Linked DNA regions of Drosophila melanogaster. The protein of the gene in region 3 interacts with the protein of the main gene of each other region in a pairwise test. Each region holds a gene or a part of one and is shown on either strand. Other genes may lie near its edges.

Region 1 (8,296 bases), on a different chromosome or scaffold from region 3:
ACTAGCAATGCCCGCTGCTGCAGGCACGATATGGCATGGGTGCGCACCTCTCGCCGTCGATCCATTGCCAGCCTGGCGATTCCCTGAAGCAATGGACACCAGCCCGGTGACCACAAAGCTGCCGACTGCGGCACTGTGCATCCTTCTTCCGCCCACCATCGGAAGATTTGGGCAGTTCGCGTGTACAACGTATACATCAGGTCCAGCAGTTGAATGGACAACTGTTCGTAGCGCTGGGCCAGGTCCTCCTGCTCTGCCGCATTTCCGTTTATCTGGTTGTCGGACGGGTCGCCCGTCAGAAGAGTAAGATTACTACTCGAGGCGGAGGAAGCCATGCCCGGTTTGCGTTCGCTGCGCTTCTTGGAACTTTTCTGCTTAGCCGCCGATTCCAGCTTTCGCCGCTGGCGTATACCTCCATCCCGACAAGCCTCCACAAAGATGCGGATGCAGCGAACGCAGGCTTCAAAATTGTAAGGCGTGATGTGTGCCACACTGCGCACGATAAACGCCAGCGAATCCCAGCACTTGAAAAGAGCAAACGGAGCGTGGTCTAGTAGCTGGCAATTGTACACAAGCGTATTTACTGGAGGAGCACTCAGGCTAGGCGGAGATTGTGGTCTGCAAAAGCAACTTTGTTGTATTAGATATGAAAGGTTAATGAGTGAAGAATCTCACCTAGAGGCCGTAGTCAATTCACTGTCCTTGTTATTGACCAGAATCCAGTTCTCAGCACTTGGACTGGAGACTGCAGGTGCTGCAGATGCTTTCGTGATCTCCGAATCCGAAGTGTAACCACGCTCTGGCACGGCAGTTGCGTCCTCTTCGCCACTTATAGCGCCATCAGACTTTGCACTTCCGTTGGGCGGCAATGGCAGCTGGGCATCATCATAATTGGGCGGCACAGCACCGGCTCCCACGCATTCAAGTAGATTGAAAATAATCTGCCAGTCCTGCTCGGAATGAATATTTTGGGCCGACGTCTTGAGCAGCTCATAGATACCAATGGAAATCTGTTTAGAAATGCGCAGCAACAAGGCTGGCTTAAGCATTAAAAGCATCTTGAGCGATTGCAATACGATCGGACACAGTTCTTCGTTTCGCATCAGATAGATAGCTAGTTTTAGGACCGCTACAATGCATCGGTTGAGTAGGTAGTCGTATCCACAGGAGGCACTGCCCATAAGCAGTAGGTACATTTGGTCTCGAACTGCTGGCCACAGCGGTATCATGCGATCCCGGTTATGAACAACTATCTTGACCAAAAATTCCATCCAGAAAACAGTTTGATCTTCGGCGTACGGCAGGCCAATGGATTTGTGCCCCTGAGGAGCCTTCAGTAGCGCTAGAACGCATTTAAGCAACTCCTGCAGCGACTCTAGTTGCACAAACTTTGATTCCTGCAGCATTTGATCCAGCTGGCACTCCTTAATGCACTTCCGTCCCAGTTTGATGAAGTCCTGCTCCTCGTACGTTGGTTCTCGCTGACCCTCCGAGCTGATAAATGAGTACAGGCTGGAAAATAGTCCCGATTCCTGCTTCTCGCGGGGCTTTTCCAGGATTAACATGGCCTTTCCGTTCGCCTCACAAAAGTCTTCCACTTCGATCAATGATTTTGGCAGCAACTTTAGACGGAAAAGCTGCAGATATAGGTCCAAAATGTGTTTCCAGCTCTCTCTTAAGCAATCGCCGTAGTCGTGAACCAATAGAAACACCGTTCGCATGGCAGCCTGAGCCTTTCCGTTCAATCCAAAGTTCACAGCTTGCTGGGTTTCATTGTTCGCCGGAGCGGGCTCATGCTGTTCTACGCTGCTCAGCAGCGTTGTGAATTTGCAGAGAGTTAAAACGAGGGCATCGAAGTCCGAATGCAGATTATAGTGCGCCGATATGGCAGCGGATTTGCTGAAACCTGAAATGTAATCGTAATGTGAGATGTGAATGGTAATTATTAGATGTTTATGTACGTACCTGCTAGAGTTCTTTGGTAGCCCGTTTCAGTGCTTTTATCAAACATAAAGCTTAGGGCGCTCAGAGAAGCACCCCACACAATATTGAAGATCTCCACGTCGTATGATGCGTCATGCACATAGTGAAAATGTCCATCGTGCGTGTCTCCTCGTCGAAGCAGTACTTTCCATTGATAATTTTCACGCACCAGACCCGTTTGCTCTGCTGGCATAACGATCTCTTCGTTCCTTAAATAATTAATAATCGGAAATATAAGCAAATGAGAGTGACGCTATATGTACTAAAGCTTACTTGATTGCATTAAAGACTTGAGCCAGCATTTCTTGATCGAAATCTTCGCCACCGTTTAGACCACGCAAATTCTTAGTGAAGTCCTCGAGCGTCATTGGAACATTTAAACGCTTCGCGTTCGAGTTGTGCTGATCCATGTTCAGCATGATGATGGCATAGGCCAAGCGAAAAGCAGCGTCTACGTTGGCAAACGGATCTTGGTTTTGTTTCTATATTGGTGGGATACATACATGATTAATATCAGAGACTGCAAGTATTTTAGTAGATGTGTATACTCACATGCCAATGATCAGAAAAGTGTTCCAGCACCAAAAAGATCAATGGAGCCTCTCCGGGCAATCTGAAGGTCTCCAGATAAAGACGCAATGCTTGATCCACTCGAAGACCAGTGAAATCAAACGAGTCCACAAAATTAATTAGAATCTTAGAGTCGACGTTTTTCTTTTTCGAGATATATTCGCCAATCATTTTTTTATCGAGCCCGGGATTTTCTCGAAGGAACAGGGCCACCTGCATGGGATCAAGCTCGGCATTTAGGATGCCGTGTTCTTGCAGATACTGGATTCCTTTCTCTGGACGCTGATTAAATCGCTCTGTGCCTTGGGATAGCAGACGCTTCTTCTGTTTGACCTTGGCCAGCTGTTCACTGGTTATTCCCACTCCCTCTCCGCCAGATTGTAGTCGTAGTCGATGTGAGCTCGCATTTATAAAGCTTGCGATGTTCTCCACTTTCTCTTCTGCAGCTACACTATTGCCAGAATCAATTACGATTCCCTCCAATCCGCTGTTGTGGCGAGAATGGCGGCTGCCACCTGTTGCTGGGGCAGCTTCTGGCAAGGACTCTCTGTTGTTGCTGCTATTCTTGCTCGCGGCACAATTTCGCTCGATACTGTCTATCACACTTAACAGGGTGTCCATTGAGATAATGTGGGTGCTATAAACTGCATTCGTTGCTGACAGCGTATACTTGCTCAGTAGGTTTGTCAAACTTTCAAACATATCCGTGCAGTACAAGTCACAATCGTAGTTGATATACAATTCCGTGACGAAGCCGGGAATGCGCCACAACTGCAGTAGATTGTCCAGAGCGAGTTCTCGCATTTCGTAGGGCGTCTTGGGATTATCGCTAGCAATAATCTCGCTCAATTTTCTAAGGTAGGCTTCCAGCTGAAACTTGAGATGTCCGCGGAGAGACTCGAAAAGCAAAAAACAGAGCTGCAAATCGGCGGCAAAGATGCTAAGCCGCTCTGAGCTGAGAAGCTGTAGGGAAAGGAAAGAGTTAGGTCAGAAATAACTAACGAAGCAATTAAGAGTCCCTTACCGATATTAAGTTTCTGCATAAGTCGTCCTTAACCAGCTCCAGCAAGCCCTCATACTTTCCAATATTATCGGCTGCGACTTCAAAAGCTACAGTAAGTAGACTAAGACCCGTGTGCATCATGCTATCCGAGTTCTGCTTATCCAGAGGATTGCAGAGGATTATGAGGAATCGGAACAACTCCTGGATGAAGGGCAGGCCATAAGGGGATAGTGATGTTACATCGTGATCGGTGGACTGCTGTGTAAAACGGACGCCCACCGAGTTGATGTACTCGCTACTATTTGCCTCGGCCAGGGTGCTGGTTGCTTCACCCGTTTCGCCGTCCAGCAAGGGCTCCGATTCAGTCGACTCCACTTGAATAACAGGAGTCTCCGGGACAGTGGTTTCATCTTCCCCCGTGCTCGCCGTTGTTGTTGGTGTCTGCGTAATCTTGCCCTGCATGTCCAATATGTTTCCCGCTGGACTGGCGGGTGTGGTGGCCAATATGGGTGCCTTCAAGTGCCCTGGCACCGTCAGGTTGGCAGACTGCGGTGTTTGAGGCGGTTCCTCCACTGCTGACGATTTCCTGGGTGCTGTCTGGGCTTGGGCAACCGTCTTACGCTTTAGTTTTTCTTGGGTAGCTCCGCTGGCAGCATCGCCGATAGTAAATCGCTTCTGGAGCATGGTGTCACTTCGCTCTTCGGCGAACTGGGGAAGGCGCATGAAGAAGAGCAGCACCATGTCCTTGAGCGATTTTTCCGCCGAGCGACGAAGCAGTTCACTCAGCCTCGGCTCGAAGGAGATCTTGAAGCAGCTGAGCATCACCTCGCACATGGACACATTGCTGACGGCGGCTCCTTCGGGACTGCGGATAAGCGTGTGCAGCACCTCAATCACTCGCATAAAGGTGACACCATCCGAGGACTGATCGGTGCCCATAAAGCGGGCATGTGTCACAGCATCGGCAATGCGCTCCACAATGTCAGCCAGATTTGGAGACGTGGGATCTGTGGATAGGTACAGAATGAGCAAATGCAGAGGGTAAGCACTAAATCATAATACCTATTAGCCCGTAAGACAATAATTTGTTAACCGAGGCCAAGGCTAGACTAGTCAACGGACCCGTGGCGTCCGCCGTGCGAATCACCTCAAGAAACGGAGCCAGGAAGACCTGAGGCTCGATCTGACGCAGGTCCTCGATCCGATTTAGCTCATGCTTGAGGTCAATGAACAGCTTCAGCAGCGAGTCATTCTCGTCGTCCTGTGGATGTGCAAAAGGGCCATATACTTTCTATTCGCAGTGAGCATTAGGGGCACTATTTACCACGTAGGCGGTGGCATTCCAACGCGTTCCACGTCGCATCGCCGTCATCAGGGTGGCCATTTCGCCCCGCACCACGTAGATGCCGTTGCCTGGAAGCGCCATGGTGTCCGCGTGTCCTCCGTTGCGGTGTCTCTACGACTGCAGCTAGTTGGCTTCCAGTTCCAGGGCTAGCGCTGAAAATTGCAGTTTTCGTGGGGCAGGGCAGCTCCTCCTCCCTTCCCGACGACCTTCGCATATGTTTTGGCACTCGCCACTTGCCCACTCGCACACTCACGCTGCCTGGACGAATCTGGGCGTGCTGCCTAGTTGGGCATCTCTCACTAATCCTAACTAATCGAACTGGTAAGCTGCTAATTTTTGGTGACGTTTACGTGTCGTTTATGTTCTTGTGTGCAGTCCGAATATTTTGCACAAGCGTCTTCCAACACCGGCGCGGCAGTTCGTCGCTTCGCAGCACTGGCACAGCTGTAGATGCCAACTCGATGCGGAAATTTCAATAGATTAAATTGAAATACAGCTGCAAGCGTATATAAAAAAAATATAACCTTGTTTTTAAAATAAAATATGTTGCCAAGCTGTCGATCAAATTGATTTAATCAAATTGATATTTGAATATGAGGGCCAAAACAGGTGAGCATAATCAGTCACGCACGCATCTTCAGTCGTGAGCGTTACACCCACCACTAAGTTACACTGGCATTTGGTGCGTAGGCGAATTTCTAATTGGAATCGTTCGATTTTTGAAAAAGAATCGCATTAAATGCAAAGCATTCCTGTTCCAGACTACTGCGCACACTTGCACTGAGGCGATCGAGCACGGGGCAGGTGGATTTACAGGACTCAGCGATACCAAAGCAGCCCACAGGCCGAACAATATGGGAAACACGGACTCCAAGTTGAACTTTCGCAAGGCGATTGTGCAGCTGACGCAGAAGAACCAGAAGATCGACCCCAGCGACGAGCAGTTCTGGGAGCAGTTCTGGCAGGGCCACCAGACGACGCTGGAGGATGTGTTCGCGCTGGTCACCTCGAGCGAGATTCGCCAGATACGGAACGAGAATCCAGCCAACCTGGCCACCTTATGCTACAAGGCGGTGGAAAAGCTTGCCCAGGCGGTAGACAGCAGTTGTCGCACGCAGGCGGAGCAGCAGTGCGTTTTGAACTGCGTGCGGCTGCTCGTCCGGTGTCTGCCGTACATTTTCGAGGACGAAAAGTGGCGCGACTTCTTCTGGAGCAGCCTGCCATCGCAGGACAAGACCATGCCGTTGGCTCAGTCACTGCTCAATGCCACCTGCGACCTTCTTTTCTGTCCCGACTTCACGGTTACGGCCACGCGGCGTGCGGGCCCCGAGAAGGCCGAGGAGTTGGCGAACATCGATAGCTGCGAGTACATTTGGGAAGCGGGCGTGGGTTTCGCCCAGTCACCGCCCCACAACGCCCACATGGAGCGCAGGCGCACGGAGTTGCTGAAGCTATTACTCACCTGCTTCTCGGAGCCCATGTACCGATCGCCGCAGCAGTCCGAGGAGCCCAACAAGTGGATAGCATATTTCACCTCGGCCGACAATCGCCATGCCCTGCCGCTGTTCACCTCGTTTCTGAACACCGTGTGCTCCTACGATCCGGTGGGCTTCGGCGTGCCCTACAATCACCTGCTGTTTGCAGACACCACAGAGCCCCTGGTGGAAGCGTGCCTTCAACTGCTCATTGTCACCTTGGATCACGATATGGTGGTGCAGCAGCAACTCACACAACCCGGACAGGCGTCCTACGACGAGGGCAATTGCGGCGACAACTTGTTCATTAACTATCTTTCGAGGGTTCACCGCGACGAGGACTTTCACTTTGTGCTCAAGGGCATAACCAGGCTGCTGAACAACCCACTGGTCCAGAACTATTTGCCCAATTCCACAAAGCGACTTCATTGCCACCAGGAGCTGCTTATTTTGTTTTGGAAAATATGCGACTACAACAAAAAGTTTCTGTATTTTGTGCTAAAGAGCTCCGATGTTCTGGACATCCTGATTCCCATTCTGTATCACCTAAACTACTCCCGAGCGGATCAATCTCGAGTGGGCTTGATGCATATTGGAGTATTCATACTGTTGCTCCTATCGGGTGAGTCATATGTCATATGTTTTGTTCGTGGAATCAGTGCACTTACACTTAAATAAATGTTTATTGATAGGTGAGCGAAACTTTGGGGTTCGGCTTAACAAAGCATACTCCGCCACGGTGCCCATGGATATACCTGTGTTTACTGGAACCCATGCGGACTTACTCATCACTGTGTTCCACAAAATAATAGCCACTGGCCACCAGAGGCTGCAGCCGCTTTTCGATTGTCTGCTGACCATTCTGGTAAATGTCTCACCATATCTGAAAACCCTCTCGATGGTGGCTAGTGTAAAGATGTTGCATCTCCTGGAGGCTTTTAGCACACCCTGGTTTCTGCTATCGGCACCCAGCAATCATCATTTGGTGTTTTTCCTGCTGGAGATCTTCAATAACATTATACAGTATCAGTTCGATGGCAACTCGAATCTAGTCTACACCATAATTCGAAAGCGTCATGTGTTCCATGCCATGGCAAATCTCCCGACCGATATGGCTGGCATAGCCAAGTGCCTGAGTGGCCGTAAAACAGGTGGAAAGTTTAACTTGCCGCGGGTACCACAGCGAAGAACGCCAGCTGTGTCCCAGGAACTGCCCTCGGCCCACGTGCCAGAAGAGTACAACGAAGAAGACGAGGATGAGGACGAGGAGGAGATAATTAATGAAGAGCCCAAGGCGGAAGAGGATCTCGAATCGGAGACAGAGTCTCATGAGCGATCTCAGGCGGGGGAGCTGCAGTCGGACGTTCTCACGGCGCAGCCAGCCGAGCCAGGAACACTGAAAACGTCCTTGTTGGACACCCCGGGCATTACTCAGATGACGGAGCGGGAGCAGGCGCATCCAAATGACAAGCCTCAGGTGGAGGATTCTACAGACATTGTGCCCTACGACAGATCAGCCGCTTCGACGCCAACTGACGAACGCAAGTCCACCTCACCCACGGAATTGTCCCGCTTGTCGGTGGCCCACAGGGCCAGCATTCGCATGGTGCCTGGCGAGAGCGATCGTTGGACGCCCACGCCCGAGTGGATCGTCTCCTGGCGCTCCAAGCTGCCGCTGCAGACCATCATGCGACTGCTTCAGGTCCTAGTGCCCCAGGTGGAGAAGATCTGCATTGACAAAGGACTGACCGACGAGTCGGAGATCCTCAAGTTTCTGCAACACGGAACGTTAGTGGGACTGCTCCCAGTGCCGCATCCCATTCTCATCCGAAAGTACCAGGCCAATGCGGGCACAACGGCATGGTTCCGCACCTACATCTGGGGTGTCATCTACCTGCGCAACGTGGAGCCTGCCATCTG
Region 2 (8,206 bases), on a different chromosome or scaffold from region 3:
ATATGTTTGCGTGTTGTGCTAGAAGACGATTTTTGGGCCGAAATCAATTCTGATCGAAGAAACGAATTTACATTGTACATATTAGGATAGTTTTTTTGCCAATTTCGTAGCAATATGATATAATAAAATAATTTTTAAAAATTCGCGCCCTGACTATTATAATTTTAAAGCTTTTTAAATTTGTTTGTTAAAATCGTTATAAAAACATTTATATTTATGTTTAATTCTAATTTGTCTCTCATCTGACAATTTTTTAAAAGCGAAATATTTTTTTTGAAACATCATATTAAGTCAATTGACTTAATAAATATACTAAATAATTAAATATGATTACTGTTTATTGCAAAGGTCATATCAAAGACACTAGAATTATTCTTGTGTGTTTGCTTTGTTCATATCTTGAGGCACGAAGTGCGGACACAAGCACTCAACAATCATTGCCTTATTAATTTTTCACACGCCGCAAGTTGAATACTCTAATGACAAATATTCTTATATAAAGTCATTTTTAAAATTTATTTTTGTGATAATATGTACATAGTTTTGGCTATTTCTAATCTATTTTCAAATAATAATAACGTTAAGGCAATGCAAAACAAGAATTTTTCGCATGGTGCCAATTGATCAAAAATAATATAGATTTAAAGTCAAAGAACTTCTAAGGTGAAGGGCATATTTTGTCAAATTTACAATGCACGAGCATACGTGTGCACACATACAGTTGTCTGCTATCCCTGTATGCGCTCTCTCGCTCTCGAACAAAAATTCGAGAGAGCCTGGAGCCACCTCTAGAGCCACGGCGAAAAAATCGTGTCTTTGCTTTTACTTAAGAGACTAACAATAAGTTTGCAAATCGTATTCTAAACTACCTAAATATCATTTTATGAAATGATTCGTGCTGTGTGGCCTAATCAGTTATATAGTAGAATTTTTCCACTTTAAAATAACTGTTCCGCGACCATCCGCTTCAATGTAATTGTTTCCAGCCAAGAGAATGCGCTCTTTATATTCTCTTAAATTTTTAAATAATGATCTCTTCGTGCACAAATGAGCAGTAGCACCCGAGCCCAAACACCACATATTTTTCGGCGAATTGTCTAGCTGAGCGACAGAGCAGAATGCCGAATATGATTTCGGATTTGCTTTCTAACTCTCTTGCGATTTTATTCTTCGCTTTGCACTTCGCAGCTTTGTGACCACTACCTCCACAATTCCAGTATGTAACTATTCTTTTACTATTACTATTACTATTTTACCGTTTTTTACTTGCTTGTGTTCTTTTTGTCCGTTTCTTTTATTATCGATCTTCTCATTCTCGTTCGCGGACCGAATTCCAATAACCGTTTGCTCACATTTTTCTACTTGATCTGTTACTTTTCGCCATTGTCCTTCTTGCAATTTAATTTTTAGAATTCTTAGTAATGGAAACTCATCTCGTGTTTCTGGAGCAATCACGAAGCCTTCAAACGATTGATGCAAACTTGACAATAATAAAACACTTAGGATTTCTTCTTGAACTAGAAAACCCACTTCTTTTAATTTTTGCACAATGTCATAAAATTTGTTCATATGTGCCCCCACTGTGCCCGTTTCACACATTTAAATTTTGTAACACGAAGCAAATACTACGCGCCGGTCCCGTAGGTGTATGTATTTCACGCAATTTTTGACATTCTTCTTTAGCGGTTTCACAATGCTTTATGTGGTTGACTTGCTATGTATACACAATATTATACTGTCAATGGCTTTTTTGTCTTTTTCGTCAAATAAAGCCTTTTTCTCGGGACTATCGTTTTCTTCTTTGACGAGTCGACCCCATGTGACTTTCCATAAGTCCGAATGTACTAACACACTTTTCATCTGCACAGCCTACGCACTGTAACTATCATTATCCTATTTGTCTATGTATTGACGAACTCATTTTGCCAATCACCAATTTCCACGATGACAATATCAAAAAGTGAACATGGATTAGTGTTTAACATTACAAAATTTCAAATCGGCTCGAATTGTAATGGTGTACCGATTCTTACATATGTATAAGTAATTACAAACATAAATATAAATATGTTAATGAAACCTTATTTTAGCGGCTAATTTATCAAATATTAAATAAAAATATTAAAATAATTGTCAGGGCATACATTTTTAAATAATATTAGATTAGATCATATAAAAAGAAAATTGGCTCTAAGCATACGAATTCGTTTCTTAGGTATAGATTGATTTCGTCTAAAAATAGCACACAGCATACACACTTTTAGTTATTGTTGTTACTCACACAAGCGGGCGCATACCATTCCTAGATTTGTACGCTCTACAGCCGTCACCAAACAAGTCGCTGGAATATTGCATAACCAATGTAAGGCCGTTACGCATCTTGTTATTCTAATGTTTTTGACACAACTAAATAAATTACATATAATTATAAATTGTTTAAATAAATATTTTTCTTTGTTATACAAATACTCCTTAGGGTTAACAGGACTAAGGTTTTTGGAAATCAGATGAAAAGAAATTTAATTATTATACATAATATACATAAAATTAGGTAAAGTAATAAGTATTAGTATTATTTTATAACAAAACAGATCTTTTACTAAGGGAATAACATAGTTAACTTAGTGGTCTATTGATGTTTATTCCACATCAGCACAAGATCATTCTGCTACTGAGTTATTTTATAAAAAATAAATAAATAATTTTTATATAAAATATTAATTAATTTAAAAGACGACCAAAAGTGTTATTCGTAAATAGTGGTATTTCAGTTAGTTACTTAATTGGATAAAGTGCTGTGAAAAGTAATTGCGTAAATCAGAATTAAAACTCTACTTGTCTGGAAAACAGCTTAAACGTCTATTTACTGTTGAATGCATTTCTGCTTCTCCTGGCTTCAAAACAAGCAATTGCAAATATAAAAGGCCTTTTTCACGTTATTTGCTTTAGACAAACAAAATAAGTCAGCAGAAAGAAACAAAACATTCCCAATAGCAATCATTTTGCGAAAACCAGAGCACCCAAAACGAAATCGAAAGATTTTGCCAAAATCGAAATCGAAAACAAATTACGATTACCCGAGCATAACCGATTGTAATTAGGATATTTTTTCACATAAAGTATTCGATTGCGCTTACATTATCGAACCACTTAATAATGAACTAGTTCTTTTGTCACAAGCATTACAGAATTTCCTTTTTTGTGTATGATGTTGTACTAAATGCTTTAATATCTGGAAAATCGGATTTCAATTTTTTGTGAATATGTAGTTTTACATATGGACATCTATGGAAGCGCGATCTCTCAAACACAGCCTAATCGGGTATGTGGTATTAATTTAAACATACATATGTTGGAATTCGCATATAAAAAGGGCAAAGAGAGTGTTAATTAAATTACACGAATTCTTGTTTTCATCAAATCAAATTAAATAAGGAATGAAATTAAATCAAATTAAATCAAATGAAAAAAAATTAATTTAATTTTTTTAGTGATAGTTTGTGTAACATAATAAAACAAGAAAAATCGATAATTTAATTCGAGCTAATCAATCACTGTATGAAAAAAAGGAAGGAACTTATGTGTGTATACATGACATATAAAATGATACGCATGCAAAAATGCTTTAACAATAATATTTTCATTGTTATCAGGGCTTCTCAATGTACAAATTTATATACCTGTCTCCTATGAGTACATAGCTGTAAGGGAGTGGCTAGGTATTAAAGTGGCTTACAGTTTCGCTCATAATTCAGAAAGAATTACAATAATTTTCCCATGATTTATTTGAAAAAATATCACAATATAATTTTTTGTCTATCCATCCATGCCTTCCGTTTAAAGAATATTTAATAAAATTGTGTATATTATAAACACATATATTATTATGTATATTATGTATACATACTATTATTTTACCATCACTTTTACCATCCAATGAAAATTTGAGTTTTTATTAAAGCCCCCTCCCCTTGTTTGTCGTAAAGGATTCCTTGTTCGGGGGAAATTTGTATGCTATCCGCGATGGTTTGAGGCAGAAGACAAATTTGTCAGAGAACAAGTGATTCGTTCTCAATCATCCCATTTTCTCCTGAACTATTTTATGCGCTATTGTTGTACAACTATGATAGGACAACTACAGCAATTATTCCCAATGCTAATGACATTACATTACATTATATATTATATTTTATATTATAATATATTCATTTCATTCATATTCATATCATTTCATATTTTATATTCTTCATATCCGTTTAGCGGTTTTTTGACTCATTTCACAAACGAAACATCAACTATAGTTCATCACTATTTATTACCAAAAATTTTAAAAATATGTAACCTGTTTATTGCAAAATTGATTTTTTGAGGCACGACGTGCGGAAATAGGCACCTAAGAATCATTGTCTTCTAAAACTTTTCACAAGTCGCAAGCTGAATACTCTAATAACAATTAATCCAACAGTCATTTTACCCTTTACTCGTAGAGTAAAAGGGTATACTAGATTCGTTGAAAGGTATGTATGTAACAGGCAGAAGGAATCGTTTCCGACTATATAAAGTATATATATTCTTGATCAAGATCTGTCCGTATGAACGTCGAGATCTCAGGAACTATAAAAGCTAGAAGGTTGAGATTCAGCATACAGATTCTAGAGACACAGACGCAGCCCAAGTTTGTTGACCCACGCCCACTCTAACGCCCACAAACAGCACAAAACTGTAAAATGTGAAAAAGGTGCAAAATGACGCCGAAGAGAATATAGCTGACGAATACAGGGTAGTGCGTCACTTAGCGTTCCGCTAATCTACATAAGTGCGCTAAACGAAAAGAGCCAAGCAACATCGAAAGCACCGGCGCACAAGCGAAAGCGAAAACGAAAAGTTCACCGCTGCTGGTATATAAGGCTGTAAGCATTAGTGCATTAGCTTCGATTAACCTCCGAGTCGATCTAGCCATGTCCGTCTGTCCGTATGAACGTCGAGATCTCAGGAATTATTAAAGCTAATGGAAGTAAAGGTTGAAATTTAGAATACAGATTCTTGAGACAACCGCCAACACACCGCACAAAACTAAAAAGCCCACACTTTGGAAAATTTTCTTCATATTTTTTAACATTTCTATTAGTCTTGTAAATTTCTATCGATTTGCAAAAAAAAAAATTTTGCCACGCCCACGCTAACGACCTTAAACTCCCAAACTGCCACGCCAACATTTTTGAACCATTTTCGATTTTTTTATAGTTTTATTAGTCTTGTAAATTTCTATCTACTTGCCAAAAACTTTTCGCCAAGCCCACTCTAGCGCCCTAACCGGTCACGCCCACACTTTGGAACAATTTTTAAATTTTTTTCTCATTTTGTTCCCCAATATCTATCGATATTCCAGAAAAATTATGAAATTTCGCGTTCGCATTCACACTAGCTAAGTAACGAGTATCTGATAGTCGGGTAACTCGACTATAGTATTCTCTATTTTTTAAATTTATTATGTATTATTCTATTCTAAGCTATACTTGAATAATTGTCAGTTCAGGCAATGCAAAACTTGAGTTTTAAAAAGTATAGGAACTTGTAAAGTGAAGGGCATATTTAGTGAAATTTACAATGCATGAGGATACGTGTGCATACATATATCTTAGGAGCTTCATTTTCGTGTCCTGCCAATACAAGGCATCGTTAATTAAATCAATTCTGGTGCGACTGCGCTAATTACATATGGATCGTTCGTTAAAGTTCCTCATTGGGTAAGTTGGAAGAAGGTTAGAATTACCCGGATTGTGAAGTGCCTTCCTTAAATAATTATTTATAATACTATGATACGAATTTAAAATCGGATGGCAATAACTTATGTTTATTTTTGGACTTAGAAATTAGTAAGACCAAAATAAAATAAAGAAATCCAATCAAGTTTTCAAAGTAAGGGTTTTACGAATAATCTTGCACAGGGAAGTCTTCGCCAGAATCTGCATGCTTAGTATCAACTATCTAGCTTTAATAGTTCCCGAGATCTCAGACGTCATACCAAAGACATTAGAATAAAAAGATAAGTAATGGCCATACATTTATCAAAATCAATTTTGATGTAAGAATCGAAGGTACATTTTTAGAGTTTGTCAATTTCGTTGCAAAATTATCTACTAAAAAATTATATATAAAATTTAATTTCCTTTTAACTAATTTATTATCGTTTCATATTTTTATTCATGCTTCTAATTAATAATCGGGCATGCTCCGTTAATCGAATTCGTAAGGATTTTACAATTTCCATTTGAAATAGAAAAATCGATGCTTCGTTTTTCAAAATCGTAAAATTTTTTCGATTCGTAAAACGGACACTTTTGGTCTGGCCGAAATAATGACCTTTTTATATTAAATCAGATCTTATTTACAAAGGTGAAAAAATTATTTACAAATTATTTAAAGCATACATTTTCCAAATAAATAAAACACTTTTAAAAAATTTTTTTCAAACTGATTATATAAGCATACATTGTTTAAAATAAATATATATATATTTCTTATATATATATATATAAAATAAATATAAAAATACAACCAGTTTTTTTTTTAATTGACTTCTTGACTTTTTTTGACTTTTTGACATAAGCACCTTAAAATAGTTGTCTTTCTCTCATTTTTCACACGAGGCCAACTTAATACTCGAATTTCAATTAATCCAATACAAAGTCATTTATGAAATTTATTATGTGATATTATGCTCATAGATTCTGCTATTACAATTTCTATTCGAATTATCATGCTAAGGCAGTGCAAACCAAGAATTTTTTACATGGTGTCAATTGATCAAAAATAATATAAATGTAAAGCCTAAGAACCAGTAAAGTGAAGCATATTTTGTCAATGTGGTCGGCTGTCCGTGTATGCGTATAAGGGAGCTGCTGACTGTAGACCTGTCCGCTCTTTGGTTTTGGTTCTTGAACAAAAATTTGAGAGAGCCGGGAGCCAGATCTGGAGACAGCTCAATAAATTATTGCTATTCATATTGTAAGTACTGGTACCCTTTTTGTTTTGAACTCCGAACCAATCGAAATTACATCTAGATTAAACTAATAGTCGTTAATTATGCCGTGTTCGTATATTAAAGAAATTTAACTCCCTTTTCAGTTTAAATATGAATTCAACTCACATAAACATGGACCTTTCATTGACGCACGAGCCTGCAAACATGCAATCCCAATTTGGGTCTTTTCAAAATTATGATCAATTTTCGGCAGCAGGATATTCAAGCACTCCATTATATATAACAAAGCCCACAGGAGTAGGTGCAATAACAAAAGTTGCGCCACACTGCTCTCAAAATAAGATTGAGACGAACTCTACAGACAATTCCATTCCAGACATTGAGAATCATCCACTAGCTACAACAGTGAGATATGTACAAGCGGGTCAATATGAGGATACATCCGAATATGGTGTAGCTGGTTTGACTTGTGGAATAGACTCTGAGTACACAGCTGAAGCTGTCGTACCTTACTGCTATACGTCGGATGCAAACTATACAGGAATTCAAAACACGACTTCAAGTATTAAACCATTTTCTGGAAGGCCTTTTAATGATAACATAAATGGAGCAGAAGCTGTTGCGGATTCCCAATGTAGAACCTTTAAAAGTTCAGCTGAATTTAAATTACCTCAATTCGCCATGAGCTCTATAAATACAGTGCCGCAAAGATTGGAAGAAAAGGATGATTACATTGAAGGATCAGAAAATGATATTTGTTCTACAATGAGATGGCGGGATCCAAATCTTTCAGAAGTAATAAGCTTTTTAAGCAACCCGAGTAGTGCTATAAAAGCTAATGCAGCAGCCTATCTACAGCATTTGTGCTACATGGATGATCCAAACAAGCAACGTACAAGATCTCTGGGAGGTATACCACCATTAGTTCGACTGCTATCTTATGATTCTCCAGAAATACATAAGTGAGTACAAATTTTAAAATACAAGAAATGTAAGTTATAGCTGTCTCGAATGTTCATAGAAGTTTTTCCTGACTATCAATTTAGAGCATTTGTAAATTGTTGTCGGCAGTCATGATTACAGCAATATAAAATGGTCTTTGTAACAAGTAGTTATGTATAAAATAGACCATATCCTTTTAAAGAATATTATTATATAAATATTATTGTCTTGTGATGATAAAGAAAATATTTATTTTCAATGGCGGGTGTAAGATCGTTC
Region 3 (8,182 bases):
TGTACCAACAGAGGACCTCCGCTATCGCCTTGACAGGAGTCCTGACCTCCTTCCGGAAATCCAGCGCACATGGCAGTGTCCGGAACGTGCTGTACAAATGACGACCTGCAATCGGACTGCTTCCAAACCGGCAGGTTAACCTGAAGATAGGAGTAATACATATTTTCTTAATTTAAAAAAGCTTTCTTTGTTATGTTCAGCTTGAGTTACTAAATTGCTGAAACCAATTTGTTTAGATCAATATAAGAAATTGAAAGCTTAAGAACAAAATAAAAACGCTGTATATAAAATGAAATATACTTTAATATGCGACCCACCTCCATGAGGATGTTAGAATGAGGACCGCCAAACTTTTGGGTGCCCCAACCGGTGACAATGGCGTTTCTATCCGACCAATCTTCGTTCACGGGCGGCATGCAAACTGGCCAGATGTAGGTGTTGAATATAGTCGCCCTGTCGATTCTGACAATTGCAATATCATTGTCGTAGTTCTGTGGATTATAATCGATATGGAGCACCATGTTGGCAATCCGGAAATCCCTCGCCCTCGTCTCATTCAGCATATGCGTGTTGTACTCGCCCAGACGCACGAAGATGTCCTCCTTGTTCTTCTTGTAGATGCAGTGAGCGGCAGTTAGGACATGACGGTCGGTGATCAGGACACCACCGCACCAAACGAAGGGCAGACCCTCCTGCAGCAGGGCCGCCATCCAAGGCCACTCGTCTGGCTCGGCTGGCCGTCCACCGGTGAGGCGGGGAAACTGCCTGGACGTGATCCCACAACCTCGCTGCTCCGGCTTATTAACGATGCGCGGCTCATCACCGTCCGCACTGGTCACGACTTGCGGACTAAATCGGTTGCTCGTCGACTGGTCAGTGCAGCAAATGCCTATGGAGCTGAAAGACAAATTATTTGTACATATAATACAAGGATGCCAAGCCATTAAGAAGAAAAATTCATATACCTTTTCTCAATGATGCAAAGCTGGGAGACCAGACGCCAGACATCATTCTTAAGTTCTGGCATGCGACAGTAGATAATGTGGCGACATCGGCCGGATTCACCCAATGGAGTGCTACATGCTCCATAATCCTTGTTCTCCTGCGGTTATCATTTGTAGTTACCTGATACTGGTATGTATGCATAAGACATAAACTCACCAGCAATTGCGAGGTGGGAGCCTGTCGCTTGTTTAGGCGATGTTGGGACAGGAAACTTACGACGCGGTTTTCCCCAGTGCGATTTTCGTATACCTGATTCTCCGACTCCCCCCATTGAAACTCATCATTATCGCTGAAGTCGAGAAGATCTGGGTGGTAGACGAAAATCTTTAGGTTTGGTTTACATTAGATTCTTGGAATTTGTCTTAGAAATATCAAGTATTTGGGTGAAATGAGTTTTAACTTTGATAAATAACTTTGCTATTAAATGCACCTGCACAATTTTTTATGTTGGTATAAAAACGTGACTCACCTAAAAAATCAGTGGATACAGTCTTGGCGATTGTACTCTGCGGGATATAGCCCAGTAAAATCACCAATGCCCAAAGAAATGCCTTCATTTTGAGTTATTTTCGCGAGTGCAGTGGGAATTTTAATCGCGTGTCGCTTCCGTTGCCCGCTGAATCAGTTCTGTTTTGACAGTTCTCCAACCAGCTAAAGCTACTTCTCCGATATGGAGCTGAGCTCAGATCGGCTCAATTTACATACGTCTTGCCTTGGATACTGCTGTTGAACCTGTTCGATGCGTCGACACTATGGGGTTTTCCTGGCTATTAAAGCGTCTTACTCCATGCTCAGTTCCCAGGCGAAAGCTTAATGGGATTGGAACCGCTAGCGATATAGTAACTATTATATAATACTTGAGTTAATCCGAGCACTTGGCTTATCTGTAGGGCGGAAAGCGAGCCACTGAAATGACGTCCCCTTTAATGCCTCTGAGCTTAGACCCAATTTGGTGTATTATCTCAATGTTGCTGGCAACAGCTTGGCAACATGTTGCCAGGGGCGAGTAGTGCCCATGATGATCAGTTTGGATTCTCCGAGGCGAACGTGATGTGCATCGCAAATGATCCGGTTCGGTGGGTTTTGATTCCATAGAAGTATCATCTCCGAAATACTAAGGAAGATTTTATACTCAGTTATATTCTCTATTTAATTGCCTTTTGACGCTTGCACATCAAAGTAGTAATAATAAATCAATTGCACGGCACAACCGGAATCGAAGAAAACATTTGCGATGCACGGTTTGATTGTCACTGCAGAAATGATTTTAATGTCTTAATTTAAAACCCAACCCTTTAACATTTTAACATAATTTAAGTAATAGTATTGAATGATGGAGGCGAAGAAAATGGAATGGGGCGACTTCAGTTGGCAGATTATGTTATTATGTAATAAGACGAATACCGAATAAGTGTACTAAAAAATAAGTTTAAAATAGAAAGCGTCAAACAAATAATTAGTCAAAATATCCTTAAAAAATATTTAAAATATATTATTTTAATATTATTGCGAAGACCATATTTTTATTATTTAACAATTTTTATAGGTAGAGCACTGGATTTGAATTTCTGGGAATATTATATGATCACATATACATATGAATATACATATATGCGGTGCTATAAACTCATCGCTTACCCACTTTATCCTGAAAATTGGTTTAAAAATTATTATTTATTATTTTTTAACAGGTATCTCTAAAATTCGACTATTGTCGTGTCATTCAAATGGTACAAATACAACTTCCTAGTCAACTCAAATGGCGTGCGAGTGTGTTACTTAATTATTAATCCCTGCGATTTAATTACCACCTTTCCCTGCCACCATGATCACCTATAAAACTCTCCTACGACATGGTTACTCAACGTATTTAGCTTTCCGCCACCATGAAGCATTGGAAACGACGCTCTTCCGCTGTTTTCGCGATCGTCCTGCAAGTGCTGGTACTCCTGCTACCCGATCCTGCAGTTGCCATGACGATGGAGCAGTTCTTGACCTCGCTAGACATGATCCGCAGTGGCTGTGCGCCGAAGTTTAAGCTCAAAACAGAAGATCTCGATCGGCTTCGCGTGGGTGATTTCAACTTTCCGCCATCGCAGGATCTTATGGTGAATGCCGCTTTCATTTTGCAGGCACCAGTGTTTGAATCCTTTATCCTTTTAGTGCTACACAAAGTGTGTGTCTTTGATGGCGGGCACTGTGAACAAAAAGGGGGAGTTCAACGCTCCCAAGGCGCTGGCCCAACTTCCGCATCTGGTTCCCCCGGAAATGATGGAGATGTCCAGGAAATCCGTTGAAGCTTGTCGGGATACGCGTAACTACACCCACACTTACCTTTCATAGCTGTAAATATATGTAAGGTATATCTTTGCAGATAAACAATTTAAGGAATCTTGCGAGAGGGTCTACCAGACGGCCAAGTGCTTCTCTGAAAACGCCGATGGGCAGTTCATGTGGCCTTAAAAATGTTTCTGGAAACTAAATTCATACTGGTTCATCCTTTAATGACCAATCCTTGGATGATTGCTTTATTATCTATGTTGAAATCATCAAATAGAATTGGAATTCGTAAAACATAAATTATGACAAGAAAGGAAGTTAGCTTCAAAAAGCCGAAGTATATACTTATATACCCTTGCAGTAATATGATGTTGATTAAATTGAAACCAAAATTTATATATTAAAGACAACTTATGTATACAGAATAACATCAATTTATGATTAAAAACGACGAAACTGTAGTTTGTGTTATATTATTTCATTCGAAACTCTATTTTCCGACTATTCGTATGCCTATATGACAAAGTCGTCCAATTCTGATTGAATCAAAACTGAAATTATATATTGTCAAAGTAACAAAGAACATTTTGTTTAAATTAATTTTTCGATTATGTATATACCCGCAATCGACTGAATTCGATAAGCAAATCTTTTTTTTTGAAAACAATCTTTAATCATATATTTGAAAACCTTTTTGTAGATTAAAATGGCACCCCAAAATATAAACACGCCGCATTGATTTCAAACATGTTATAGTTTATTGCTGATATTATTAACTAAATACAACGGTTTTATGTTTGCATAACGCATACTTATACATTTTGTAATCGATAAACATCCAATTGGCTTAGCAATGCATTCAAACTTAGGGAGATCTTTGCATTCAAGAGGTTACAAAATAAATGCAAATCTTATACAAAATGGTTGCCTTGCAAATCTGCGTACAAAGTTCTCTGTAATCGAGAGTAATCGATATCTTAAATTTCGGTTTCGGTATAGGAGTAGTGTCTTTATATATGTATGTAGATCTCTCCAAAAAGGGTCTCACAAAAATATATCCGATTAGAGCGTGTGTGCGGATTAGTTGATGAATTTGATGAGGATGTTCGAGGAAACCTGTGTAAACAACTAAGAGTCTAATGACATTCACACGTATATATAGTAGTTAGTACATTGTATATAAAATCAGTACACATTAATGCTTGTATATTGAACCGTTTGTTGTTAGCTGCTTTGGTTTGGTTTGGAAATACTTTTAACTGCTACACACACACATCTAAATAGGTTGGTGGTTCCGTAGACAACTATAGTCATACACATACACATATAGTTAGGTATATAATTTGATATATCGTAGTTATAATTAGGTGGAGATTCGGGGCAAACCCTCGTCGATTCCACTGGGATTGTGTAATGCCGTTGATTGTGTTGTGCGTGGGGACCAAATAATGTCTGAGAGCTGGAGAGTGTATACAAATGTCGTATATAGGGGTTTTCTCCTTTCATAACTAGCCTAGAAGAGTTGCTTGTGCTTCGAGTTGAGTTTTCGTTAACATTACGATCTGGGATCACATTTGGGTATATCAAACAATATAGTAGAGAGCTAAAGCTTTTCCATCAGCCCTGTTCTATGCGATTTTAAGATTCCTTTGCAGGGCTTACACCATAAACTTGGTGGTCTTCAAGGGGAAGACGTAGAATTTGGTTTGTGCCTAAGACGTTTGAGCGAAGAAAATGCTTCTGGACAGGATCCATTAAGGTGGTAAGATGACAGTAGACGATTGCTGAGTAAGAGTTCATTGTTCAGGAAGGGGTTGGTGGTAATTTTGATTATGTTTTCCCATTGCATGGACAACCATTGTCCATTATAGCTAGCTTAGTCCATCAGTCGAACGCCGGCTTGAACGTCATCGGCCATGCTGACTCCCTTCTTTTTCTTGCCTTCGCCGGCGGGCTTCTTCTTGGTCAGGACTAGGGTTTCCGGCTCATTCTGCGACTGCTGACGCTTGCCATTTCCGCTGGCTCCGCCACCACCACCTCCGCCGCCTCCCCCTCCGCCGCTGTTGCTTCTCAGCTTGAAACGCGTCGTGGCCGCCGCCGCATTGTTGTTGGCGCAATTGCATATGGCATCGAAGATCCGCACCACGAATCCTCGAGCGCGATTCACCACCTTGCCGTTCTTAAAATCTGGTATGGCGAAACCTGAGAGGTTAGTGCATGCGAGGCGCAGAGAGTACAAAAATACGGAAATAAAGATCAGTGATACGCAAAATACAAGTTAAGTGCAACAAAATATGGTCATGCAATCGAGCTGGCTGGGTTTTTTGGAAAATGGGTGAAAATGGCGTGCGAATGCGTTTATATATTCTAAATTATATGCTTTCCTCAGTTTTAATTGCCATCTGTTAACAACCGTGGAGGAGGCCCACAACGGTCGCCCTGTCATCAGTTAGTTAGGTCAGCCCACTTTTATCAAACAAGTTACAACATTACGCGACAGTTCTCTTAATTTCAGCACGAAGATTATACTTTCCTAAATATTTGCAATATTTGAGATTTAGACCTCATCCACCAACTTTTAGCCTAGGCACTCTTAGGTGTCAAGCGAGTTCATTGCCACGAAAGTCATCGATACAAAAATACTTAAGCAAGACTAAGAAAAGGATTTGTGCACAAGTGTCTATTCAGCGGCCAGCACTTGGCAAGGGTTTGCGCTGAAGTGCTCGAAAGGGAAAAGCAATACACTATCCAAATAGCTAAGAAGTGAAATGTACTGAACCACACTGCGTATACTTACTCGGTCGTTTTTCCTTGCCCTGCAAGGGAAGTTACAAGTTAGTTCAGTTAGCTCGAAAACGAATATTAGATATGTGTGGTCAACCTGTTGCGATTTCTGGCTCTCAACTGCCCGCCTGTTCGCCTCCGTCTCAGCCCGCAGGAGCACATCGTCGAGCGCCTCCCGCAACGCGGCCATGTTCTGGGGATTTTGCTTGAAGGCCTCAATCCGCGCCTCCAGTGACTCCGTTTCGATTCCATCAACGCTGTCCGGAGACGCTGGCTCGGGATCCGCAAATCTGGCATGCATCTTTCCTGGGTTTTTGTGAGAATTCCTTTTTATCCTTTGAAAATGCTGCCAGAAGCGTTTCGAGCTTTGCCTTTGTCCTGCGATGGGTATCTACAAGGAGTGCTGAGCAGAGCTCTTTGTGCGTTCACCCAGCAATGCGCTGGAGAAATCAATAGCAAGCCACTTGGGGGCCCATACCCGCACATGCGTGCTGACTGCGTGGGCAAGCTTTCGATTTGTGGGGTGGGAGAGCAGTCAGTTGATTTCAACAGTTCGTTATTTACAGAACTGTAGCTTAATATTTCTATGGGAAATCCTTAAATAATGTTTTTTTTTTTGCTTGCTAAGAAGAACTAAATCCATTTTACACAAAACGTGTGAAAATAATGATTTAATATTCTTCCTATTTGTGTGGTTACATTTTTTTGGGGTAGGAACCCGCATTTTTTATTTTATTGCATACAATATGACAAAATGTGGACTACGAACTAAGCTGGCTACTCCAGGTGCGAGAGATCGTCCAGCTCGGGCGGTGCGCGCACAATCTCCGTCTCAATGATCAGCGAGTTGGCGTCTAGGATGCTCTGAAAGATTGAACTGTTATACCATCAACTGCTGGCGCTTCGCTACCGGCAATAACACACACATTATCGCTGCTCCGCTGTGCAGCCGCTAGTAGACTGCCGCTCGAGCTTGAGTTCGAATTGGAGGCACTGGCAGCGTTGGAGGCCGCGGAGAGGACCACGCTGTGCGGAGAGCTGCCACGCCGCACCACCTTCGCCTGGCCCTGCTGCGGCGAGTTCTGGGTGACTATCACAAACTTTTGCGCCGGCTGGTTGGCCTGAATGGCTCTTATTTGCGGCAGGGACGAGACTCCGGGACTTCTAAAACAAAAGAATATTTAACCGCTTAGTAATGGGCATAAAAAGACATGTCAACATGGTTTCCATTAGGAATCAAATGCTTGGCTGGAATTTTATTTTATGCTTAAAAGTGTTATTTACCCCTGTCTCTGTGTGGTGGGCATGGACACTCGTCCGATGGTTGTTGCTGTTTGTGCTGCACTCGTGATGGGTGCCGTGTTGATAGTGTTGGATGACAGGGTTACAATGCTTGAGGCGGGCGCATTTCGAACTTTGACTACTGCCTGGCACAGCGACGGCCCCAGGAAGCCAAAGTCGTTCTTGTAGTCCTCCGCTGTATCTGGCGCTGAGCGCATTTGCCTGAGAATCGGGGGACAGCACTTCTGAAGCATGGCGCGGATGTGACCTGCTGCTGTCTTGTCAGTGTTGCTGATGGAGGTGCCGAGCAGGTGAGGTTCAATGCGCTCCGATATGAACTTAAGGCGGGGTATGATGAAAACCTTTATGACTTCGCCCCCCAGCTCCGAGAGACCCGCAATAGAGCCGTAAAGCGAGGACAGGTGGGTCTTGTCGTTCTGCAGGGCCTTGCTGAAGATGCTGAAGGTTGGGAAATGGATGTTAAAAGGTTATTTAATTTAAGTGGATGTGATTTACCGGGTGACACGGGTTTGCAGATTGTTGGTTAGGGTATTGAAGTTCTTGCAGATTTGAGCCATCAGTCGGGAGGCAAAGTCTCGCAGGGCCCAGTGATTGTCCAGCTCGGGGCGCATACACAGCTGTTTGGACACAATGCACGTCATCACCGAGGGTATCAGTTCGTGGAGCTATGCGGAGACAACATCGTTTTTATGAGAAACAAAGAACAATACAATAAGAAATTTCTTACGTATTTCTCCAGAAACAGCGAAGGATTATCCAGAAGCGCACGAACCATGCGCATGAGGTAAATAAGCAACGCCAAGTTGTTCTG
Region 4 (8,212 bases), on a different chromosome or scaffold from region 3:
TCCTTTCGTTTTTGTGATGAGTTTTTCACGTGCCGCTGTATTCACCCTTGTCAATTCCAGTTACAGGCCGCCTAAAAAATATGAAACATAAATGGAAGCCAAAGGACTGCTGTCAATAAAAATGCCTTTAATCCGACTGGCAACTTTTTCATTAGTTCCTTTTCGTTGGGGGGGAGGGCTGGCTCCACTAGAATTTAGTTTTTAGTTGTATTTTTAGAACATTTCCCCGTGTTGAGCAAATATTATTGATGACTTTCTATTCCAGCCCGTGCAGGGGTATCCATTATGACTGGACACGAATGCGGGGAATCGAATCAATCAATAAACGAGGAATCCCAGCTGAAACTAAGCCCAGCTGAAGTATAAGCTCCATGGGTCCAGGAAACGTGAGGACATGACAGGAATCTCCCGCCGTCCTACGACAATGAGCAGAAAGGAAGGCAAAGGAAAGTAAAGGGAGTGAGTGGGAGTGGGAGTGGGTGCTAGTGGGCCCGAGGCCATGGTGGCGGAATAAGGGCCATTCAAGGGTGGTGGCCCCGGGCCATTGAATCGAATACGCATTGAAGTCGTCCTGCCACGGCTTTCTTTATGTGTGTATGTATCTGTGTGTGTATATGTGGTGCGCACAGATTCGGGCCACAATCTCGCCCTCTTAACTCGAAATTGAATTTGGCTTGGAAATTGTGTGCTTTGCCGCTGATGGAAGCTCAAAGAAGCTGGGTTTGGAAAAATCACATTTTTGAAATTCGAAAGCTGGAAAACCCCACCAATTGGTTTTTTTGCCACGTCCAGTTTTTGAGATATGAAATTTCAAAGAAGTTCCAAAAAATTCGACATTTTTGTTTTATAAGAGTGGGCAAAAAAAAAAACTAATTTTAAAGGATAGGCAAACGAAATTATTTATTGGGCAAACGAAAAAAAAAAACAAATTTTAAATGGTGTGCAAACGTTAAAAAGTCAATTTTTTGATTTCCAAAAATTTTCGAAAATTTATATTTCAAAATATAATATTTCAAAACGTAGGCAAAAAAAACTAATTGGTGGGCAAAAACGGGCAAACGATTTTAGCTTTCAAATTTTAAAAATTCGATTTTCCGAACCCAGCTTCTTTGAGCTGCTGATGGATGTTTGTCTCTCGCCTGTTGGTTGTTGGCCAACTGTGTTGCTGGGCTCTTATTCTCCTTTGTCCGTTTGGCGAAGATGCCAAGTTTACAAAATGGAGGAATTAATTGCAAATACAGCTCATCGAGAAGGAGCTCGAGAATTTATTATCTGGATTCCGTTTTGCAACAGGGGAAAAGAGGATATTAAGAACGGGAAATGTAGTCGGATTACATAAAAAAGGGTGTAACTGGGGAATTTTGAATTCAAGCAGTTTAAAAGTCTTAAAAATAGATGGCACTGCATAGAAAGGCACCTTCCAGTTGTTTAATAGTTCCTGTTGTTATTTTCAAAGAAATCTGGGTTACATTTAAATCTAGACAAAGAATTTTAAGTTATTTGAGCAAAATGATTTTACGATTTAGTCCACGCCTAGTACTTTTTACAGTACCATTTATATGTTTATTTTTGTTTTTATAAAGCTTGTCCAACCCTTTTATTAAGTTTTTATGAAAGTAATTATTGCTTTATAAAGGTGAAGTATATATACATTTGTAGAAACAACGGGTGCCTGACTGAGCAGCAAAACTCATAATTTTCCTAAATTATGAAGTGAAGTGTGCCAACTAGTCATACTAGTTGTACTTGAATGCTTTTCTTTAATTTTCAAACTTATAGAAGCGAATTCTATAAAAGTTATCCGGGGGTATTCACTGATTTATGGCCCGCGTACTCATTTCAACAATATTCGAGTAGAGGTATGGGTACATATATGGTGGGGCTCATTCCAGAATATCTCAGTGGCTTTCTGAGCACTTCGATCCCCGCCACACTAGCTGTAGTATAACCTCACCTGGCGACCCACCTGCCCAAGCAGGCGACTTTTGCTGGCTTTTTAATTTCTGTTTGCTCTTTAGTTGTTTAGTTGTTTGTTTATCAAGCAATGCCAACCCTTGAGCAATTGATAAGCGCGTGAAATATTTAATCGCACGGGGAGCAAACACAAATGGCAGCGGAATGGAAAGGAATGGAATGGAATGGAATGGATTCCAATGCGAATGCGGCGCGATACTCACCTGACTTTCTGCTGCTTTGCTGTCACCTGCTGGTGGTGATAGTTTCTTTCGGGTGGGTGGGTCTCCTGCGTCCACCTGTTTCACCTGCTCCTCCGTCTCTTTCTTCGCTGACTTTTTTTGCCTTGTTCCTTAGCTTGCTTTTGTTGTTTTGGCTAAAACCAAATTTAATTTGTTACTCTCATGGACTTTCCTTGTTTTTCTACATTTATTTTTGGATCGTTGATGTTGGTGTTTATTGCCGCTTTCGCTGTTGTTTGATGTTTTGAAAGTATTTCGGTTAATAGATTTTGATTGCTGGATTCGTATTTACTGAGATTTGAGCGATTTTTTAGTTGTCGTGAGGTACACTTTTGAAACATCAATTAGACGAGCTCCAGCCATTAAACTAATTTTCAATCTTATCAATTTTCAATACGGTGAATTTTTGTACATGTATGTAATTAGTTTTGGTCTGGTTTCACTTTATTTGTTTTATGCCTAATATTTAATTCCCAAAAGGCATGAAATAATAACATGCCAAAAGTCACGTAAACCAATATTTAACCAGGTTTTGCAAAAATTTCGTTTAAGCTTTGAAGAAAAACATTTTTGTTGTTCGCCAATGTAACTGCTTAATTAATTGGGTGCCCGAAATTGTTTTTCGCTTGAACAGACATTTTTGTTTTCTTGTGTGCTTAACTGCAATTGTTGTTTATTTTTGAATTGCTACAGCGAGCCAGCACAATTCATTTGTTCGGTTATAAATAAAATATGAAGTGAATTCTGGTTGTCACTTTGCAAAACCTAATAGGAAACACAAATTAGCGAACAAAATTGACGTGATTATTTTGCTTATTGCTCAAATTTGATCAAAACCTGCTAAACGATGGAGGAACTTTTGTTTTTTTTTTTGCGAAATAATTTGTTCAAGTTGGCCTAAATAAACATGTTGGTTTTTGTGTATAATTAGGCATTTGTATTGTTGTTTATTCTCTACTTTCTTGCAACTCCTACGTAAATTGACTTTATTTTGCTTGACTTTTTTGGGTTTGTAATAATGTAGGGGCTAATTCTGATTGGCATCCTGAAAAGCTGGCGCCCGTGACCCAATTTCCGAATATCGATAGGCGTCGATAACGCAGGTAGCAGTTGCACTTGCACTTGCACTTTTTTGAACTATTCTTTAACTATTGTTAAATCCAAACAAGATATGATATCTGGCAAAAAAAAAACTACTGATTAGGGCAAGTATTTAGTTAATTGATCACTGCACTTGTTTAAGACTCGAAAAATAGAGCGCTCAAAACCGGCATTTGAATCATATGCGCAAGCCCCTCTCTCGCTCCCCACTCTCTCTCAATCTCTTCGCGCTCCAATTTGAGATCCCCTTTCTCCACCTGCACTCCGCACTCGCTGTCTCTTTTTCACACGCAGCTCTCGTGTTTATTGATTGTCCCCCACCGAAAAAAACCTTCAAGTAACAACAACACAACAACAAAAGCAGCGGATAGGTAGATTTCTGTATGTATGTATTTTGTATTTTCGGGGGAGGGATTGGGAGGCAGGCCACCTACACCGCCTCCCGCCTACAGCCCACTTCGTTTTTTATTACGCGCACGTAGTGTGGTTTTTTTTGCTCTCTGCTCTCACATTTTTACATACACTTGCACAATTGAAGAGAGAGCGAGAGGTGATAAGTGCACAGGTGTAGGGGCGGGGGGCGGGGGGCGGCGCGAAGCTGGAGTTAATTTGCGAGCACGCTTTTTTGTTTTTCGGGCTTTTCTCTTCGGTGCAATTACTTTTTCGACTTTTAAACGCACATTTTCCAGCGATCCACCAACGCACAACGGCACACGGTTCTATATTTTTGCCACCGGCGATTCAACCGCTGTTACTCGTTAGATTTTTTGAAAAATTTTAATGGCAAACGTAAACAAGTGCGAACGGTGAAATATATCGCAAGCAGAAGCCTCTGTATTCCGATTCCGTGTCAGGCAAAAATTACAAAAAGTTTTGAATTGCGGGTTGCTTAAATAGACTTGGTGCTCCCGCAAAAGCTCGCTCTCAGCGGAAGCTCTCTCTCTCTCGCGGCCAGCTCTCTTGCGTGTGGGTGTAAAAATACTGAAGAACATACCAAAGCGGGGCAATTGTAACGTAAGTTTTTCAACGGTTGTCTTCAGATATTTAGAAAATTAAATAAAAATATATGTAAGAAAAATTGACTACTTAAATGAAAGAAACCCCTAAAATGATAACACAATGACGTATTAAATGCAGCATTAAATGGACGTATAGTCCATTTTGAAGGACTAATAATATAAAAATCATTTTTTATTATTATAATTCCTTTGGTGGTCATAACAAACAGTGGGAACTGAAGCGAGGTCTAAACAAACGTTTAAGATGCAATATTTTAAAAACAAGATGCAGGTCGATCCGACTGTCCACTGATCATCCGTAAGGGCGTTATGATGATCGCATCATTGTATAGTCTAACGGCGGAGATGTCAAACTCGATAGCTCTATAGCTCGGATTTGTAGATAGTCCACAGCTTCATCAATGGTTGGGATCTCGGTTTTCCCGGATTTCGCTTTGAATAGCGGGTGCGTACTGTGCGTTTCCGGACTGGACTGTTCCTTCCCATTGTCCATGTTTATTGAATCAAGCGCTTTAAATTCAAATCGCAATAAATGTTTTCATTTCACTTCTTGAGAGAACTACATATGTTACCAGGTGGAATGAAAAATCTGTGCATTATTATGAACCTGACCGATTAATACCATTAACCGATAGATACCAACACTGGTATTATGTTCAGACCACATACTGTCCACCGAGGTTGCACGTGCGTATTTTGTTTGCAACAGTTTCAATCGAGTAAACGAATTGTTGATGAAAACGATGCTCGCCGCCCCCACAGCCAGCAGCAATGGGAGGCCTATTGGGCCCCACAAGTCCTGGAAGAAGGTGAACGAGGAGCGGAAAGCGTTGAAGCGGCAGCGCAAGCAGGACAAGCTGCTCAAGGAGCTGCAGCAAGCCAAAGAGGCAGAATCACAGGCGGGAAAGGCAGCCAATGAGGTGCAGGCTAAGGATAAGCCTAATCCGTCCACGCTGAGCATAGCTGTTCCCGGTTCAATTCTCGAGAATGCCCAATCCAACGAGCTGCGGGCCTACGTGGCCGGTCAAATAGCCCGGGCCGCCTGCATCTTTCGGGTGAACGAGGTAATCGTCTTCGACGACGTGGGTATAGCCACCGCCCGGGAAACAAAGCGTAGTTACGAGGCAGATGGGGAAGGCAGCAGCACTGGCACTGTGCGCAGCAGCTCATTACAACTGGCACGCATATTGCAGTATCTGGAATGCCCGCAGTATCTCCGAAAATACTTCTTCCCGCTGCACAAAGACCTTAAGTACTCTGGCTTGCTGAATCCATTGGACACACCGCACCATCTCCGTCAACAGAGCAAATTCAGGTATCGTGAGGGCGTCATTTGCGACAAGAAGGCCAAGGAGGGACACAGCTACGCCAACGTGGGGCTGCTTAACGACGTTTTGGTTGACAAGGCAATAGAACCAGGCGTCAGAGTAACTGTAAAAATGGAACCTCAAAGTGGTAGGCATTTAAATCGAACATTTGTGCTCCCAGTGCCGAACTAATGAACTATTCGTCCTAACAGAGAGCTGTAGAAAGCAGCGGGGAACACTAGTTAGCCCGGATGAACCACGTCGGGAAACAGGTGTTTATTGGGGCTACCAGGTGCGCATCGCACACTCCATGTCTGAGATTTTTACCAAATCACCCTACGCAACCGGCTACGATGTTACGGTGGGTACCTCGGATCGCGGAACCAACGTACATGAGGTGCCCAACCGATCATATAACTTTAATCACATGCTCATTGTATTTGGCGGACTGCAAGGCTTGGAATCTGCCTTGGCCAACGACGAGAAACTGACCGTAGATGATCCTGAGCTGCTGTTCGACCACTATGTAAATGTTTTACCACGCCAAGGATCTCGAACCATTCGCACCGAGGAAGCGCTGTTGATTGCTTTAGCGGCTCTCCAGGAGAAACTGCAACCGCAAGTGGCTGATGTGGAGATCGATTTGACTGATCTGCTACCTAAAAGTGAGGATTCAGGCATTGCAGTACGGCGAGATGTTTTAGTTAGCAAAAAGCAAAAGAAAAGGAAGCAAGTAGAGGATACTCCTGATGAAACAGTCGTTGATGAACCTTCATTTTCAAAACCATTGCCGAAAGTGGCTCGACTGACGGCCAATCCTTTTGCCGATTCCTCCGAGGAATTAGCGAAAAACACCCCAGCACAAGACGATTTTGAAGTGGTTTCATCCACCACCGTTTCTGGAACAAGCCACTCGTGTGCAGATGACGACTTAAGTCGGTTCGATTAATGGGAATAGTTGGAATTTTATTTTTGTAAATATACAGATCCGTATGTGTTGCTTAAAGTTTCGCTTTTGATTTTCTTGTTATTCCACTAAGCGTGTATACTATTTTGTTTTTTGTTGACGCGAGCTATAACGAGCTATATTCCTATATAGACATATACTTTTGTTCGAAATGTTCTAATAACTTTATCCTTACACACTAAATTAATACGATTTTAAATTTCAAACTCGAATGTCCAAGCAAGAATTAAGATTTTGATCTCCTAACATTTTTCGCATTATCACTTACATACATATACATTACAATTGTCTATCGACTCATTCGTAACTTAAACATAATAACCTAGTTGTCCCTATAGGATGGACTGTCTGTACCTCTGTTATTTACACACTGAAAGTATATGTATGTCGTAAGGAGGCTTCACAACTGAATCTCTAAATGTAATATGTAGCTACATTGTCGCTGGTCATGATTAGCTATGGAATCGAGTCTTGAAATCGCGGCTCTGGCAGAAAGTCCTCCTCCAACTCGATGCGCGTATCGCTGTGATATCCTAGCAAAGATTCCGTGTCCTCTTCCATATGTCGAATCGGAAATGTTTTGCCATCGCCAAAGCTAAAGGATATGTGGTGAATTATATCATCAGTGGGAAATTGATAAGTAATGAGTGCGTTATTGTGTATGTAATGGATTGATTGAAGATTCGGTGCTGTGCAGATGAAGCAAAGCTGTCATGTTTATTTATTTGGCAAACTAAAAACAAACCTTTATAAGTTTTAAATACTTTAAAATCCATTTAATTTCGTCACTTGCAGAAGTTCAATAATATATGTATTTGGGCATTAAGGTGTACAAAGTAAGAAAAAGTATAAAAACTTGCAAACAGTTACTAACTACATAAATTAAAACCATATGGAAATTACTGAATTCCGTGTGTGTTAATAGTGTGTACTGAAATCTCATTGCTTATCATTAGGTTTAAGTCTTGAAGATCTTTCGATATCTACAAGGATAGTTGGTTTCATGAATGCATTAGCAAGGTACAAATCTTCGGAGGATAACACCATCTCATCTACTAGGAAATTCCACATTCGATTCTTCTAATTTCCATTAAAAAATTCGATAAATGCGTGTGTGAAACCAATGACATATTGCCTAATGTTAACTTAGTCGATTATACATATGTGGTGATTTATATTATGGTCCCAGCCATTTAAACATTTAAATAGCCTACACTAAACAGCTGATGAATTGCATAGAGGTAACTTATTTGCTTACTAAGAACCGCAACGCTGACAAATCTGGCAGTTTACTTGGCTCTATGGTACAAAAACATACACATAATACATTCTACGTTATTATTTAAACTGGCAGATCGCCATTCGGCGGGCGTGGGAAGCCTTTGGCAGGATCAGCGCTTGTCAACGGATGATCTCCAATCATTTCGATGTATACGGCTGCCCCATTGACTCCACGCTCGTCCGGGCTAGACATGGCTGCTGGCGTGCTGCAGTCTAATGATTGGCCGTTTGCCAGCTTTTGCTGCCGCTCGTTGAGCTCGTCCCGGCATGTAGATGGCGGCTGGATCTGCAACAGCTGGGTTGGCAGGACGCTGGTGCTTCTTACTTGATGAGGCGATTGGT

The links.
Region 1: the proteins of CG9368 (region 3) and garz interact in a two-hybrid assay, tested with the Drosophila melanogaster proteins (one large-scale study listed by BioGRID).
Region 2: the proteins of CG9368 (region 3) and p120ctn interact in a two-hybrid assay, tested with the Drosophila melanogaster proteins (one large-scale study listed by BioGRID).
Region 4: the proteins of CG9368 (region 3) and Pka-R2 interact in a two-hybrid assay, tested with the Drosophila melanogaster proteins (one large-scale study listed by BioGRID).

Annotation. Positions count from the first base shown.
Region 1 is NT_033778.4:12,323,360-12,331,655, reverse strand, and holds the start of garz (gartenzwerg), read right to left. Parts: upstream 5,297-8,296; 5' UTR 4,983-5,296; coding exon 4,881-4,982; intron 4,818-4,880; coding exon 4,619-4,817; intron 4,564-4,618; coding exon 3,578-4,563; intron 3,517-3,577; coding exon 2,536-3,516; intron 2,466-2,535; coding exon 2,257-2,465; intron 2,193-2,256; coding exon 1,966-2,192; intron 1,907-1,965; coding exon 676-1,906; intron 619-675; coding exon 1-618. Other genes in the region: CG8841 (uncharacterized protein), read left to right, coding at 5,756-6,998, 7,069-8,296.
Region 2 is NT_033778.4:4,592,141-4,600,346, forward strand, and holds the start of p120ctn (p120 catenin), read left to right. Parts: upstream 1-3,147; 5' UTR 3,148-3,287; coding exon 3,288-3,322; intron 3,323-7,128; coding exon 7,129-7,947; intron 7,948-8,206.
Region 3 is NT_037436.4:19,599,961-19,608,142, reverse strand, and holds CG9368 (uncharacterized protein), read right to left. Parts: upstream 6,511-8,182; 5' UTR 6,371-6,510; coding exon 6,167-6,370; intron 6,102-6,166; coding exon 6,083-6,101; coding exon of another isoform or gene 6,042-6,082; exon of another isoform or gene 5,488-6,041; coding exon 5,162-5,487; 3' UTR 4,023-5,161; downstream 1-4,022. Other genes in the region: CG9372 (uncharacterized protein), read right to left, coding at 1-140, 318-897, 966-1,102, 1,162-1,310, 1,475-1,562; lush, read left to right, coding at 2,892-3,113, 3,169-3,319, 3,380-3,468; Taf6 (TBP-associated factor 6), read right to left, coding at 6,924-7,233, 7,354-7,809, 7,867-8,036, 8,099-8,182.
Region 4 is NT_033778.4:10,021,874-10,030,085, forward strand, and holds the start of Pka-R2 (protein kinase, cAMP-dependent, regulatory subunit type 2), read right to left. Parts: upstream 4,170-8,212; 5' UTR 3,956-4,169; intron 2,487-3,955; exon of another isoform or gene 2,330-2,486; 5' UTR 2,178-2,329; intron 1-2,177. Other genes in the region: CG12128 (uncharacterized protein), read left to right, coding at 5,050-5,770, 5,835-6,571; CG1407 (uncharacterized protein), read right to left, coding at 7,932-8,212. UniProt on the Drosophila melanogaster protein: Regulatory subunit of the cAMP-dependent protein kinases involved in cAMP signaling in cells. Mediates membrane association by binding to anchoring proteins, such as Akap200. Might play an essential role in the regulation of neuronal activity in the brain.